Canis lupus familiaris: one gene and its partner. The protein of the gene in region 1 purifies or fractionates together with the protein of each later gene. This does not show direct contact. Links are inferred from orthologs where the notes say so. Each region holds a gene or a part of one and is shown in the gene's direction. Other genes may lie near its edges.

Evidence for each region. The genes of interacting proteins can lie anywhere in the genome.
Region 2: the proteins of USP4 (region 1) and EDC3 purify together in Homo sapiens (co-immunoprecipitation; 3 studies listed by BioGRID and IntAct, with this or other methods). This does not show direct contact. The link is inferred for Canis lupus familiaris from reciprocal best matches to the Homo sapiens genes USP4 and EDC3.

What each region holds. Positions count from the first base shown.
Region 1 is NC_049241.1:40,303,347-40,311,741, forward strand, and holds the start of USP4 (ubiquitin carboxyl-terminal hydrolase 4), read left to right. Parts: upstream 1-3,603; 5' UTR 3,604-3,660; coding exon 3,661-3,761; intron 3,762-6,469; coding exon 6,470-6,597; intron 6,598-8,395.
Region 2 is NC_049251.1:38,155,436-38,163,275, reverse strand, and holds the end of EDC3 (enhancer of mRNA-decapping protein 3), read left to right. Parts: intron 1-1,740; coding exon 1,741-2,093; 3' UTR 2,094-4,763; coding exon of another isoform or gene 4,764-4,940; 3' UTR 4,941-4,962; coding exon of another isoform or gene 4,963-5,124; 3' UTR 5,125-5,456; coding exon of another isoform or gene 5,457-5,547; 3' UTR 5,548-5,825; coding exon of another isoform or gene 5,826-5,905; 3' UTR 5,906-6,387; coding exon of another isoform or gene 6,388-6,470; 3' UTR 6,471-6,693; coding exon of another isoform or gene 6,694-6,823; 3' UTR 6,824-6,903; downstream 6,904-7,840. Other genes in the region: dual specificity protein kinase CLK3, read right to left, coding at 4,764-4,940, 5,457-5,547, 5,826-5,905, 6,388-6,470, 6,694-6,823, 6,904-6,998. UniProt on the Homo sapiens protein: Binds single-stranded RNA. Involved in the process of mRNA degradation and in the positive regulation of mRNA decapping. May play a role in spermiogenesis and oogenesis.

The sequences.
Region 1 (8,395 bases):
GCTGCGCCACCCAGGGATCCCTAATTTATTTTTTTAAAAAGATTTATTTATATATTCATGAGAGACACACAGAGAGAGGCAGAGACATAGGCAGAGGAAGAAGCAGAGCAGGCTTCCTGTGGGGAGCCTGATGCGGGACCCAATCCCAGGACTCGGGGATCACGACCCTAGTGGGAGGCAGATGCTCAACCACTGAGCCACCGAGGTGCCCCTAATTTAATTTTTAAGTTCTATTTATTTAAGTAATCTTTATAGCCAACATGGGGCTTGAACTCAGGACCCTGAGATCAAAAGTGACATGTTCTTTCCAAATGAGCCAGCCAGGTACCCCAATAAAAACGTTTTAATATGGGGGATCCCTGGGTGGCGCAGCGGTTTAGCTCCTGCCTTTGGCCCAGGGCACGATCCTGGAGACCCGGGATCGAGTCCCACGTCGGGCTCCCGGTGCATGGAGCCTGCTTCTCCCTCTGCCTATGTCTCTGCCTCTCTCTCTCTCTCACTGTGTGCCTATCACAAATAAATAAAATAAAATAAATTAAAAAAAAACGTTTTAATACTTTGGAAGTAATTATTTTCTGACTACGACATTTCTCTTCCTCACATTTCGACTACTGGCACTTTGTGATCTTAGTATAAATTTTTTAGGAACTATACATAATTAGAGCAAGATTTTTACAGCCATTTAATAGCACTGAAGAGATCCTGCCTTAAAAAGTTTTCATATTTATAATTAGGTTTTGGCCCCTTTTCTAGTGGTGCTGAGGACTTGTCCTACTTCCTTAAGACTCTGACCCATGCCATAAATGGTATAGGAGAAACTGCTAAAAAAAGAAGAGAGAAGTAGACACCCTGTAATGTAGGTTCTGAAGTCATGTCGATAACCCAGCTTTCTTTTTCCATAAATAACAGGGCTAAAGGTGGTGTTTCTCATTTAACAACATTTTTAACATTTTCTTTTTTTTAAATGTTTTTTAAAGATTTTATTTATTTATTCATAGAGATGCAGAGAGAGAGAGAGAGAGGTAGAGACACAGAGGGAGAAGCAGGCTCCATGCAGAGAGCCTGACATGGGACTCGATCCAGGGTCTCCAGATCACGCCCTGGGTTGCAGGTGGCGCTAAACCGCTGCGCCACCAGGGTTGCCCCATTTTTAACATTTTCAAATAACTTTCACAGAAGGGCACTCAGGTTGTAAAGGTCGGCTCCCCAGATGCAGAATTATCACGTGGTGGTAATTCTTATCTGCGGAGGATTAACTGCTATGAAGTTATTCAGTTACTCAAGACAGTTTTATTTCCAAATTTACTTTTCTTCTCCTAGCTACCCAACTCCCAAGAGGCCTGTGTTACCAGAGGGTACCTGAGGGGTGTCCCAGGTAGCGTGTATTCTTTTTTTTTTTTTTTTTAATTTTTATTTATGATAGTCACACAGAGAGAGAGAGAGAGAGAGGCAGAGACATAGGCAGAGGGAGGAGCAGGCTTATTGCACCGGGAGCCCGACGTGGGATTCGATCCCGGGTCTCCAGGATCACGCCTTGGGCCAAAGGCAGGCGCCAAACCACCGTGCCACCCAGGGATCCCAGGTAGCGTGTATTCGATTCATGCTAATTTCAATTAGCCAAAACCCAGGATAAAAATAGTAAATCTGCTCAAATGACCTACCACACCTTCACCTAGCCAGTGATCCCTCCTCCATCCCCAACACTGAACATGGCTCATCTGTTTCTCCTTCCTCATTGCCATCTCTCTAGTTAAAGGTTCCTAATAGGTCTCTTCTCAGCTTCAGCTAGTTTGTCTCTGATCCAAAACCTTTTACAATATCTGGGGGGCATTTATTTATTTTTATTTTTTAAAGATTTTACTTATTTATTCATGAGAGACAGAGAGAGGCAGAGACACAGGCAGAGGGAAAAGCAGGCTTCTCTGTGGGTGAGCCTGATGTGGGACTCAATCCCAGGACCCTGGGATCACAACCGGAGCCAAAGGCAGATGCTCAATCACTGACCCACCCCGGCATCCCTCTGTGAGCCATTTAAAGCAGAATATATGGCCTTTCTGGCCTCTGTTTTAGCTTTAGATAAAAGGTTCTTTCCACTACTCTGTGCCCAGTTTAATTTCTAATCCTTAATCTTTGGTTCTGCCCTACTTGTTCCAGAAATTGACTCCTGTAGTTTCCCTCCTTGTAACATGCACCTCCAATTTCTATGCTTCTTAAAGCCACACTCAAGGGGGCACCTGGGTGCTCAGGTTGTGATCCAGCAGGGCCTGGGATAGAGTCCTGCATCAGTCTCCCTGTGTGGAGCCTGTTCTGTCTCTCTCTGTGTGTCTCATGAATAAATAAAATCTTAAATAAAAATAAAACCACACTCAAATGCTACCAAGTCAAACTTGCCCTTTCACAACTCTAGGGGTCTACAGTCTTTGGTTCATACCCTTTCATGGCACTTACCTATACCATACAGTGCTTGATGCTGGGGTTATTTACGGAAGATCTCTTCTCCATTAGTTTGAAATCAGGCACTGTGACATTTTTTGGGGCAGGAACTGCTAGAAAATGAATGGTGACTCATCAAGGCCAGCTGCCCGGTCTCCCTGCTCTGGGCTTACTTCCCACTCCATGAGGCGAGCTGTGCTTTTTGTATGCAGGGCTGAGTGGAAGACACATAGTGTTCAGGATACTGAATCTTGTTGCAGCAACAAATTATTATTATCATTACTTTTAAAGATTTTAATTATTTATTCATGAGAGACAGAGAAGCAGAGACACAGGCAGAGGGAGAAGCAGGCTCCATGCAGGGAGCCCGTTGAGGGACTCGATCCTCAGACTCCAGGATCACGCCCTGGGCCAAAGGCAGGTGCCAAACCACTGGACCACCCAGGCGTCCCTGTAGCAACAAATTAAGCAGCAACTTGGGCACCTAATGTGGAGAACACACCCAGATCTCTCCTTCTAACCTCGCTGCTATCGCCACTCAGCGGCTGCTTGTTTCCCTGACAAGGCAAGCAGCTAGCTGTGTGGAGGGCTTGGGTTATTCGGTCGTGGGCCATGATTCTTGCGTCTAGACTGTTTGAAAGGAGTGTTAATGACTAGATTAGACCGTCGAGTCCCGGTCCCAAGGCGCAGGTATACCTGCACTCTCCAATATCCCTGCAGGGCTTCCAGGACCGGCACCCGGATCCCCCGTTTGGAAGGCTAAGGACTGGCCTAAGATCTCCAGCTCAAAGCAAGAAAAGCTAGTTCCAGGGCTTCTCGCAACTGGCCCTGGGTTGATCTAGAAAGCAGGCTAACACCGTGGGCCTGGACGGGGTGCCTGAGGGGTCAAGGGGACTACGGTCAGGTGCCTAGAGATCGCCGGGCTCGACGAAGGGATGCAAGTCAGCCCACCTCGCGGCCCCCAGGGCGGCAGAAAGGGCCCGCACGTTTGCCAGTACCCACCTCCTCCTCCGGCCCCCTCCCGGCTCCGCCCCGCACGGGTGGGGAAGGGCCGCACGTGATAGGGAGAAAAGGCAGAAACAGGCGAGCGGACATTCGAGGCCGCGGCGCTAGGTGGGGCTTGGGTACGCGCGCGCATGCGTGCGTGCGTGCGTGCGTGGGCGTGGCCCACAGCACGCCGTGCGCGAGGCGGATGTCCGGGCCGGCTGGGCCGGGGCGGCTGACGAGATGGCGGAAGGTGGAGGGTACCGTGAGCGGCCTGATGCGGAGACCCAGAAATCCGAGCTCGGGGCCTTGATGAGGACCACGCTCCAACGAGGGGCGCAGTGGTGAGCACCGGGCCAGCCTTTCCGCCGCCCAGACCCAGAGGCAGGGGCTCTGGTCCTTAGGCCAGACCTCTCTTTCCCGGCTTGGATAGGGGCCGGGTGGGGGCGGTGTTAGTGACCCTGAGAGGGTGTCCTGAACCTTGTCTCTCAGAAGAGGACCCGTAGAAGCACCTCAGGGAAAGTGTGAGGGTTATCCTTGCCCTTTCGGAGCCCCAGAGGGCGGACCCGGTGGGGGGTAGGGGCTACAGGGTGGGGGAAGGGGCGTGCTCACGGGGACCTTCAGGATGGGAAGAGCCCCTTACCTTCGAGGACTCTCTGTGTGACCTTGAGGGAAGGCGACCACACCTCCCAGACCTCGGTACCTTACTATTAAAGCCAGGGTAACAGTATTTGGCATCCCCACGTTATGGGTTGAGAAGAACATCAGAAGTAGATACTTTTGTAACTTGTAAATTCTCGAACAGATGTCAAGGTTAGAAGTTGAACAAATGTTTGAAAGCTCCGGGTTACTTTGGTAGCAAGTGTCAAAAATAATTGTGGCAGCAGCGTTTCAGTGTGGGGGAGGAGGATAACTTAGAGCCTAGATAAGAAGGTGAAAAGTCCATGGTTTAGAAGAGCAAATCTGAGACAGTAGGCTTCTTAATAAATTAGTAGAAAGGACAGTTCTTCCACTAGTGAAGAGATTCCTGGGTGGTATTATTGTGTGGGAGTAGAAAGCTAAGGCTTAGATTTGCATCGAATATGATTGAACATCGAATCTTTAAGAAATTAGGTGGTGTTTATGCTACTTAAGGTAATTGAGCAGGAAAGGGAAACATTTGGATTAGGAGGAATTCAGATAGGGCTGTACAGCAGGGCAAGCAGAAGTTATCCTGCTTCGGAGTGATAGATGAAGAATATGTGGCAAGATCAGAGAGAGGATGTTTCAGATAGTCTAAGGTCACACTAAAAGTGTTTGGAGAGTATTGTTCAAGGGGTTTAGAGGGAGGAACACCTGGGTGTTTCAGCGGTTGAGCATCTGCCTTCGGCTCAGGGTGAGATCCTGTAGACACGGGATGGAGTCCCACATCAGGCTCCGTGCAGGGAGCCTGCTTCTCCCTCTGCCAGTGTCTTTGCCTCTCTTTCTCTGTCTCTCACGAATAAATGAAATCTTAAAAAAAAAAAAAAAAAAAGTGGGAGGGGGGTTTTGGAGGGAAAAGAGCATTTTTTAAAAAAGATTTTATTTATTTCTTAGAGCGAGGCAGAGACACAGGCAGAGAAGCAGGCTCCGCCCACACAGGGAGCCTGATGTAGGACTCGATTCCAGATCCCAGGATCATGCCCTGAACCAAAGGCAGATGCTCAATCACTGAGCCACCTAGGTGTCCAGGAAAGGAGCATTTTAAAGATTTGGGTGTATATATAGATCCTTGTGGCTTTTGGGAAGCTACCTGATCATTCAGGTTTGTTTTTTATAAAACCTAAAGGACTTTGGGATACCTGAGTGGCTCAATCAGTTTTAAGCGCCTTGCTTCACCTTGGGTCATGATCCTGGGGTCCTGGGATTATCCCTGCATCAGGCTCCCTGTTCAGCAGGGGGTCTGCCTCTCCCTCTTCCCCTCCCCCTGCTTGTGAACTCTCAAGTGCTCTCTCTTAAATGAATAGATAGACAAAATCTTTAAAAAAAAAAAAACAAAAAACCTTGAAGGATTCACCAATATGATTGTTGTGCTTCCCCCCCCCCACAAAGATTTACTCCTCCTCTCTTAATTGTAAAACATCATAGTGATACTTTTTAAAAATTTTTTCATAGTGATACTTTTAAAAGTTAACTTGTCTGTCCTAGACAAGAACTTCTATAAAGATCATTTGAAAAAAAAAAAAAGATCATTTGAAATTACTGAATTACTCATTAGTGAACAGGAATTTACTCATAGGAGGACTTCATTTAAATAAGCTTGAATCCAAAAATAAATAAATAAATAAATAAATAAATAAGCTTGAATCCAATAATTTCCTTTCATTTATTTATTCATTTATTTATTTATTCTTTTTTTTTTTTTTTTTTTTTTTTAAGTAGATTCCATACCCAGTTGTAGAGTGCTGTGTAGGGCTTGAACTCACAACTCTGAGATCAGGACTTGATTTGAGACCAATAATTGGATGCTTAAGCAACTGAGCCACCCGAGCACCTCTCATTCTTTTCTTTTTCTTTCTTTCTTTTTTTTTTTTTTTTTTTAAAGACTTTATTTATTCATGAGACAGAGAGAGAGGCAGGTTCCATGCAGGAAGTCTGACGTGACTCGATCCCAGGTTTCCAGGATCACACCCTGGCCTGAAGGCAGTATAAACCGCTGAGCCACTTGGGCTGCCTGAGAGTGTTTTTATTTTTTTTATTTTTTATTTATTTAAAAAAAATTTTTTTTTTTTTAAATTTATTTATGATAGTCACAGAGAGAGAGAGAGAGAGAGAGGCAGAGACACAGGCAGAGGGAGAAGCAGGCTCCATGCACCGGGAGCCTGATGTGGGATTCGATCCCGGGTCTCCAGGATCGCGCCCTGGGCCAAAGGCAGGCGCCAAACCACTGCGCCACCCAGGGATCCCGAGAGTGTGTTTTTAAATGGGAATTGTGTGTTCTCCAGGTGGAAAGACCATAAAAAATTTAAAGGAGCAACTGCAGAAACTCAGAATCTCAGTTTTTCTGGCATAGTAAATTTTTATCTCTGTCTAGGTATCTTATTGACAGCCGGTGGTTCAAGCAGTGGAAGAAGTATGTGGGTTTCGACAGCTGGGATATGTACAATGTGGGTGAACACAATCTGTTTCCTGGCCCGATAGATAACTCTGGACTCTTCTCAGGTATATTATCCTATTGCTTTTCTAAGTGAAATAACCACCTAAGCAGTGGCCTGAGGTCATATTTATCATTAACATGAAGTTGTGAACCTAACTTTCCTACTGTGATGGATTAGAAACAAGTGTCCTTGATTTGAGTCAATAGCAGAAATCTTTGTAGACCCTCAGGGAGAAGTTAAACTATTTTTCCCCAAACTTAACTGCTTCAGGCAGAAGCATGCTTCTAACATTTTTCTTTTGCAAATTAGTTTTGCTAGAGATGTCAGATTTTATATTAATTAGATGTGGAATGGAAAGAAGTAGGATATCATTTTGAAATTGCATCTGGAATCTGAAATTTGGGTACTATAATTTTTTGTGTTATCTTTTTAGTGGAACAAATTGCACACCTGTCTACATCCATCAAGCATTCCCATGATAGTAGTTTGTCATAGGAGTAGTGTGAAGAGAGGTGGAAGGTAGAGTTATTAACACCGTCACATTGGAAGAAGTGATTGAAAAGATTAGCATGACATACCAGAGCTGGGCTAGTACCTATAGATGCATAGATAAGACAATTGATCTTTCCTGGGCTGTGTTTTGCCTAGCTTTAGACTCCTTTGCAAGCAGGACAGAGCTGATCTATTGATTGTGCCCAAGACGGGGAGTAGGAAGGCAGACAATGTATGAGGCTTGATCCAAGTACTTTTTTTTTTTTTTTTTAATTTTTATTTATTTATGATAGTCACACAGAGAGAGAGAGAGAGGCAGAGACACAGGCAGAGGGAGAAGCAGGCTCCATGCACCGGGAGCCCAACGTGGGACTCGATCCCAGGTCTCCAGGATCACGCCCTGGGCCAAAGGCAGGCGCCAAACCGCTGCGCCACCCAGGGATCCCCTTGATCCAAGTACTTAACGCTAACCTGGGTGTTTTTAAAAATGAGCAGTTCTTCAAATCAGACTTGTTTTAGGGGAGGTCTTAGTGGCATAATAATTCATGTGCTTTGTTTCCTGATGATGTAGGTCAGATGGTGTCATCACATCATGAAGTTGGCCTGAGGGAGCATGGGATTGTGTGTACATTCTCTCCCCCCTCCCTTTATTTTTTTAAGTAACCTCTAACCCACGTGAGGCTTGAACTCATGACCCTGAGATTGCTCTACTGACTGAGCCAGGCAGGTCCTCCTCTTTTTTTTTTTTTTTTTTAAATAACAGATTTCTTAATGCTTTTAAGAATACTAGTGATTTGAATTCTAGGGCTAGAGGGGCTCTGTGAAATCATTTTGCATGACCTTCAGTAAGGGCAAGCATTTCTTCCATGGTCCTCCATTTTTATGTCATTTGGCTATGGCTTGAAATATTTACTGTGTGCTTAGGAGGTGAGAAGTGCATTCTGTTCAGACCCTGCTTGGAACATTGACAGTGCAGGAATGACCTATCTCTGGTGAGATAGGTTACCCCCTTAGTTCCCAGACTCAGTCCCCTGTCCCAGTCAGGCTGCCTTTCACCTAGAGAATGGAAGTGGCTGGATGGGACTCTTGAAAGTGTAGGAAGGATAGGGTACAGCATACCCTTGCTTATGTTGGTCTGCAGAGCACCCTTCTTTCCACCTCTGTACCTGCTGTATATCAGATGGAATCCCTGTGTGTAGGCCAAGCAGTGCTCTCACTCCCCCCCCTTATTTGCCTCTGTTGAAGAAATTTGCAGAGACTAAATCCTCATTCTCAAACCTTTGTGTGATTCTGAGCATGATGCCTTTAGACTGATCTTGTTTCAAGTGAAAATAGTAAACTTCATTGGGAATTCCCAGCCATGTTTCCTA
Region 2 (7,840 bases), on another chromosome or scaffold:
TAAGCAGGTATAACTGTTGCCTGATACAGAGAAGTCCACAGGTACGTGAAGGGGTCTGGTCTGGAGTACCGGGTGTGTAGGCAGGAATGAGCCCTAGTGAGCCTGGGTAGGCTATCTCCTAGGAAGGGGTAGGGAAGTTGTTTTTTTTTTTTTTTTTTTTTTTTTTTTTTTAATTTTTATTTATTTATGATAGTCACAGAGAGAGAGAGAGGCACAGAGACACAGGCAGAGGGAGAAGCAGGCTCCATGCACCGGGAGCCCGACGTGGGATTCGATCCCGGGTCTCCAGGATCGCGCCCTGGGCCAAAGGCAGGCGCCAAACCGCTGCGCCACCCAGGGATCCCTGGGTAGGGAAGTTGTGAGACTCAGTTCTTTGTTTAGAAGTCAGGGAGTTGAGAGAGCAACTCAGGAGATGGGGAAGGAAGTGGTCAGTGAGGGAGAAGGAAAAGCAGGAGAGCCGGATACCTGAAGGCAAGTGAAGAGGGTGCGGTCGGCTCTGCCAGCAAGCCGCTCTAGGTTAGGCTTAGGTGAAGTCTGGGAATCGACCACTGGATCTAACTGTGTGGAAGCCCCTGATAATCTGGACCAGAGCAGTTTCAAGGGCCGGCGGGGAAGGGAGGGTAGGGACAACAAAGTGATTGGAATGGGTTTTAGTGAGAGCAGGGCAGGAGGAGAAGAGAGAAGAAATAATGAAGAAGGCCCTTGCTGGGGTTCAGATGGCAGGTTGAGGCCAGACCCTGGGCCATAACTTCTGTCTCCTTCCAGCCAGCCTCCTGTGTGCACGTGGAAGGTAAGACCCTCTCTTACTGTTGAAAGCCTCCTGGCCCCCAGGGACATCCCTGCCCCCTTCTTCATGGTACTCTAAGTAAGGAAGCCATGAGTCCCTAATTAAGAAATCTCATTACTTTAGCCAGGAAGGGGGTCTGGCGTGGGTTCCGTAGCTTGAGATCTGTAACACGATACCGTGTTATAGGCAGTTCATCCTCTGGCTACCCAAAAGCCTTCCTATTTCAATTCCAGGAGCCAAGTCTGAAGATGCTGATCTTGAGTTGGTCTGATTTCTCCTCTTCTCCAATTACCCTCTTAAGCTGGTCAAGACTTACATAGTTGTTGAGACATCTGTTCTTATGCCGCCTGAGAGGCGTGGTTTGATCAGAGAAACTTTTTTAAATGCCTGGAGAAGTGGTCGATTCCTTCCCTATCCCTCAGAGTGGGCTGCAAGGAGAGCCCATTTTCATGAGGTGGGGCGGGGTGCAGCAAAGCCGGGCTGGCTCCTGTCCGGTGAGGCGGCTAGCTCGAGGTAGAGTAAATAGGTGCGTTCTGGCCTGCTTCCAGTTCTTGGGCCAGCCAGCAAATGACAGTCAGCCCATTTCTTCTGGGCTCTGGGCAGGGCTCCCTGTGAGGGCTGATTTGGCAGTCAGCGCCCCATTCTCAGAGCTCATAGTGTACCAGGGAGTTAGTTGGATGTGCATCTGCTGTTCCTGGAGATGGCCTGCATGGCCAGCAGGATGCTACTTCAGCCTGGGGACTCCGTGAGGACAATGGTCCACTGGGCTGACATGCCCTCAGTCTCTGGTGCCTAGGCCAACCGGGCCGCAGAGGTCCAGAGGCCTGGCCCAGCCTTGAGAAAGCCAGCCTGTGGCAAGTCCTTGGAGTGGTGTCAGGACAAGACACCCTTGGGGCCATCTGGGTTCCAGTCCCCACCTGGGCTGCTCTCTGCTTATAGCGATTCCCATATAGTGCTCTTTTCTCCCGCAGATCTGCCCACTAGCCCTGTGGATCTAGTGATCAACTGCCTGGACTGCCCCGAAAATGCCTTCCTGCGGGACCAGCCCTGGTACAAGGCAGCTGTGGCCTGGGCCAACCGGAACCGGGCGCCAGTGCTCAGCATAGACCCTCCTGTGCATGAAGGCGAACAGGGCATCGACGCCAAGTGGTCACTGGCCCTGGGCCTGCCTCTGCCACTGGGGGAGCGTGCAGGCCGCATCTACTTGTGCGACATCGGCCTCCCCCAGCAGGTATTCCAGGAGGTGGGCATCAGCTACCACTCCCCCTTTGGCTGCAAGTTTGTCATTCCATTGCACTCGGCCTAGAGGGGCTCTGGGCAAATTAGACCCTGCGGTCCCCTGCTGCTCCGGACACACTGAACTTGACAACGAACGCCTTAAGGATGTGAAGCTTCATGGACCTTGTTAAATTTTTTCGCTTTTGGATTTGTTACTTCTGTGAGAGAACAGATCATATTTAAAAATGACCTGTCACCTGCCTGTAGCCAGGGCAGGTGTGTGGGTGTGCTGGGTGGGCAGCAGGCTGAGTGGTTCTAGGCATCTCGACCCTTGGCCCCCTGCGTGGCTGGATGGGGCTTTGTTTACAGACTTAGGCAGCTCACTCACGGACTGTGTTTCAGGTTTACAGTCACTGGGGCCTGAGCAAGCACCTTGAGGGGTGGGGCGGGTCCTGTTTGGGGCCCTGTACTTGCTTTGGCTCCGTGTCCCCTGCTTCTGCACCCCCCCACCCCCTTCTGATCATGTCAAACTGGCTGTGCTGCAGCTGCCCCGCTAGAGGGCAGACTCGCACTCCGTTCCTGGCGAGGGCTTGGAGGCGGCCTTCCCAGAGTCCTGTCGCAAGTTGATTTAGGGGCTGATTTGGAGGCTTTTGACCCTTTCTCCTGAGCTGATGCAAGTTTTATGCTGGGATTTTTTTCAAGGGTCTTTCTTCCTTTCCACTCCATCACGCTGAGAGGCAGGAAAGGGGGTGGCATCAGGATGGTTTTACTGTATTGGGATTTTATACTGTTTTTCTGTTTTCTGCATACGTAGTATGAGGTTATGTTACTGTAGAACCACAGTGCCCATCTTGCCAGCAGTGCCCCCCAGCCCCATACCCTCTCTAGCTGGGGCCAGAGCCCTCAGGGTGCAGCTTTAATGTTCAGTATTGGGGAGGTCCCTGGGGGAGCCTGGTGCTGAGCCAGAAGAGGCTCCCTGGTGCTTCTGTGTCTTAGGCCACCACTACCTTGCCCCTACCTCCTTGCCTGCACATATGCCCCCCCTTTCTTCTGCCCCCATTTTCCCCTGAAATGGTCCTCTGCAGCTATTGTCCCAGAGCAGGACACAAGTCCCTCCCATCTAGGCTCTGAACCCTTTTTGATTGTCCACTCTAGATGAGTAGGCTTGGGGCCAGCGCCCTCTCAAAGATGCCAAAATGAGGCTAGTTCTAGATGAGCTAGCTGGTGGGTCTCAGCCATAGGAACACATTGCTGCTCAGATCCTAAGGCAGGAAAGCCCTTGGACCTCACATGATTAGGCCTTGGAGGCTGGTTTCAGAACACGAGCCATACCCTAGAGTACCTGCCAGGGGCCCTTGCAAAAAGCTCATGCTCTAAAGCCGTTTTCAGGGCTTCAGGCTTCTGCTTTCTGCCCACTCACTCTGGTTAAGGGGGTGAGTGGGAGGGCTCGCCAAGGAATATGGACACAGGGTAGGCCCTGGTACCATGGATTGTCGCAGGCTACTTCCCACTTCTCATAGGAGCATAGCCAGGAGCAGATGAGGCAGGGCAGAGGGCTGGTCCCTCTTTTCCTCCCATTCTTCCTCAAATGTTAATTGTCTCCAGCAGTGGGAGGCAGCCAGAGACTGTGAGCTTTGTGTGTATCCTCCCTGAACCTCTGCTCACTCTCAGGGCCAAGAAGCTCCAAGATGGAGCCCTCTCTGTAGAGGCAGGGCCACAGTCTGAGGAGCAGTGCTGGGTTACGGGCATTTTCAGTAAGCAGCCAGTAGACTGTGGGTGCCTGCCTGTTGGTAAGCCTCCCCGCGCTGGGTACAGCGGAAGAGGAGCCTGAGGAGCCTGGCCCAGCGGACTCTGCGCTGCAGTGGGTAAGTTGCAGCAGCCCTGGGAGCGAGGGCCTGGTCAGGGGCCACGGGGAGCTTGTTCCTGGGCCTGTCTTCTCCCTGTGGGAGGCTCTGGAGCCTCCTCCTGCCCCCAGCCTGGGCCTTTCCTGGTGGTCTTAAAGATCAGCATGGTTCCTCTGCCTTCAGCTTTTTTCAGAGGCGTCCCGTCCTGTCCCCCAGTCCCCAGCCAGGTGGTCAGGACTACCACTCCTGCAGCTCTTGGGGAACCAAAAACCAGCACTTAAAATAAAGCTGAATGACGGAGGCCTGGGCTCTGGTAAATTGCTGTGCAGGCTGTGGCCTGGAGCTGCCGCCTGGGCCCAGGAGCCCAGCTGGTCAGGCCCCGTCCGCCAGCCTTCAGTCAGCCACGGCTCTTGGGCAGATACGCCCTGAAGTGCCGGCTGGCGACGGGGCCAGGAGGAGGGGAGACTGGCTACTGCCCAGCCAGGCCCCAGCGGGCCCAGCACCTCAGGGCACTTCCCCAGGGCCTGGGGCGTGGGCGGGGGGGCACCCCGCTCCTCTGGGCAGCCCAGTTCACACTTACTTAGCTCTCCACAAGCTGAACTGCTAAGAAAGACTTTATTAAGAAGGCCGGGAGTGGGGATGGCAAGGAGCCTGGAGACGGACACACTGGTACCAGGGGTTACAAACAGTAAGAAACACTTTATTATAACTTTACAACATATAAATAGCTTGGGGCAAATCTGTGCTTTCTGGCAGCTGGGCGGGCGTCAAGTCTCGTCCCCTGCAGGCTCCTGCCTTCCTTCACATTGCACTGTTCGTTGGGTGGCTCTGGCCCCGGGGCCCGGTGGTGGGGGTTGGAGAAAAGGCCGGGTGGCCCCGTCCCACTCTCCGGCTCCTGCGGTGGCCTACGCCTGTCATCTGCTCGGGTTGCGGCTGGTGTGGAAGGACCGCTCCTCAGGGGTCAGGCCAGCAAAGAAGGGGTGCAGCAGGGCCTCCGCCAGTGTGATGCGCTGGGCAGGGTCAAATTCTAACATCCTCCTCATCAGGTCAAACAGCTGCACGTGCTCCAAGGAGTCCTGGAGCATGTAACTCTGCTCAGGGACACAAGGCGCCTCAGTGTGACGGCAGGCTCGTGGGAAGCCTTGCTGCACGGGTTGAGGCGGCAGTGCCGCCTCCCTGGAGGACGACTATGCCCTCCTGACAGCAAGCGGCTCCTTTCTTTTCACGCCTGTGTAGAGCGTTTGGCGCGGTGCCTCTGCCCCCGCATGCAAAGTCCTGACAGGTGGGTAGAGATCACCTCTGCAGAATTCACAGGTCCGAGCACCGAATGCCGTTGATAGAGGCTTCCGGGCCATGTCTAGGTCCTCCCTCCCCCTCAGCCCCGCCTAGTTCTTCCCAAAACTGAGAGGAGAGAGGGCAGGAGGCAGCAGGTCTCTGACATCTGGCTCTTCTGGTGGTTCCCCAATTACATCCAGAGCCACCCTGTGGGGAGGGGCCCCTCGGCCAGCCCCCGGCAGCCTTTAGCTGCCCGGCCTGTCTCTGCTGTGTCTGCCCAGGGCCTGGGGTCTCCTCGGCAGGAGTTGAGCTGGGGGAAGCCAGGAACTGACCTTCAGAGGTTTGCAGTTCTCCTTCACATACCGGCCATCAGAGCTGTTCTCATCCCAAACCAGGCCCCCTTTGTAGAAATACTTCTGTTTCCTGAAAGTGAAAGAAAAGAAGGGGTTGATGTGGCAGGGCGACAAGTCATGGGTGGAGGTCGCAGAAGACAGTGGCAGTCGGGAGTGGCCGCGAAGCGAGGTGCAGGATCCTAGCTGGCCTGACCGAGCAGGGCGGGAATGTGTGCGCGGGTGGTTTCCCAGGTCACGCAGTGTGGTGCTCGGGAGGGAAGGCTGCTAGGAGTCTGGGGGAGCCACGACGTCCCAGGAAGACTGGCCAGTGGCCTACGGCCAGCCCGGAGGCTGCCACCAGGGCCTTACCTGGTGCGGTGGATCATGTGTGACGGGATGGGCCCTAGGATCTTCTCCATCATCACCAAGTGTTCACGGTTTTCATGGGTCTGTTGGGGTTTCGGGAATAGAGCAAGCAAGGCTCAGTGCGAGCCTCAGCCCCTCACAGGAGGTAAGGGACGGACCAAAAAAAAAAAAAAAAAAGATGGGCAAGTGTCTTCTTGCCCCCCGAGATGGGAACCCATCAGTGAGCAGTAGTCCTGGCCTCTGACCCGGTGGCAGCCGCCAGCCCCTTCTCTCAGGGTCAAGTTCGTGCCCCAGGGCCTCTCAGACCCGTCCATCAGCGAGCACCTGTCTCCAGTTCCCTTGCTCACTCCTCCCGGAACGTGCCCTGCCCTTCTCTGCACCCTCACACAGGCTGTGCCCCCCCGCCCCGTCCTCCATCTGGAGGCCAAGCGCTCCACTACGCCGACCTCAGGAGCCCGGGCATCCCACCTGTGCCGATGGGTGGGTGGTCGCGGGGCTGCCCAACCCAGCCCCTGCAGCCTGCCCAAGCAGGGCCCACGTGCTGCACCAGGGGGGGGGGCCTCACCTGAAAGAGCGTGAAGCCCCGGTAGTACTCAAAGAGAATGCAGCCGATGCTCCAGACGTCACAGGGCTGTGCCCAGCCCAGCTCTGAAAGCCAGCGTGGGGAGAGAACAGGAGACTCCGGTCACAGGTCAGCTGCCCTCCGGCTGGCAGGACTCTTGCCCAAACCCAGAGAAGACCCTTTCCCGGTGAGGTCCAGTCAGCGCCCACAGGGACACAGGCCGCTGGTGGCGGGCACCTCCCTGTCTCCAGTCCTAACCCTCCCAACAAGCCTCCGCGTGGTCAGAGTTGGGGCCACACGGTCACTCACCAAGAATCACCTCAGGTGGGCGATAGTGACGGGTGGCCACGATGGTCGTGTGGTGCTCGTGGTCAAAGGTAGCACTGCCGAAGTCAGCCACTCGGATGCTGGTGTTCTTCACCGACTTCTCCTCGCAGCTCTGAGGCAAGGGAGTCGGGTCAGGAGTCTGACCAGCGGGTGACCCACCCCAGAGCAGGTCTTGCCTCTCCCGACCCGTACCTTGTGCTCATTGTAGAGGGTTTCAAACTCCGAATTCACAAACAAGATGTTCTCTGGCTTCAAGTCTGTGTGGGTCAGTTGGTTTTCGTGTAGAACTGGGGAGGCAAGGGCGGAAGGAGCCGGGCCTTGAGAACCTGGCTGCCCTCGGGCCCCCGCCAGCCGCAGACCAGGCCGGCCGGGCTTCCCTGACTTCTCTGTGCTTGCGGCCCTGCCTGGCTCCGAGTCTTACCAGAGGGGCAGGCACGGACACCCTCCCTTTAGAGAACCTCCCTCCACCTCCTGGGTGGAGGCCCGGCCTCCTCGGCCCGTCTCCCCGAAGCTGCAGCGTCAGCTGGTGGGGGGGGGGGGGCTTCTCTCCCCAGCACCAGCTGCGGTACTGGCGGCGGGCCAGGGGCAAATTGGGAAAAAGTCACTAAGTATCAAGATGACAGAGACAGAACACTCCAGCAACCACCCCAGGGCCAGCCCTGGAGCTGCTCCTCATCCCTCAGCCCGGGGGAGACATCCACCTCTTTCCTCCAGCCCCCGCCCCACCAGTGGTGGCACCTGCCACTTCGTGCTCCTGTCTCCTCCCCGACATCACGTGCCAGGTCCCCTCGGCCAGCTCGGGTGTGCGTCCTGTGCCCTCTGCCTGAGCCGACCCCGTGCAGCCTAGCTCTGAGGCCCGCCCTCCACCTGTGCAGGAGCCCGGCCCGTGCCGACCACCACGTCCTGCAGCGTGGTGTGCGTGGGGCCTACGAGTCGGGCCGCGGCCTTTCCATCCTCCACAGGCATGAGCGGGGCCTAGTGGCTGGGCTGGTTCTGGAGCTGCGCCCCCTTCTGCCTGAGAGCCCAGGGCATGGGAGGGCTCAGGAGCCCCCTACCCCAGAGTCCTACCCGAAGGCCTTTCAGCCCTCGGGGCCCCGCAGGTCGGCTGGCGGGCGCACGTGGCTGGCGC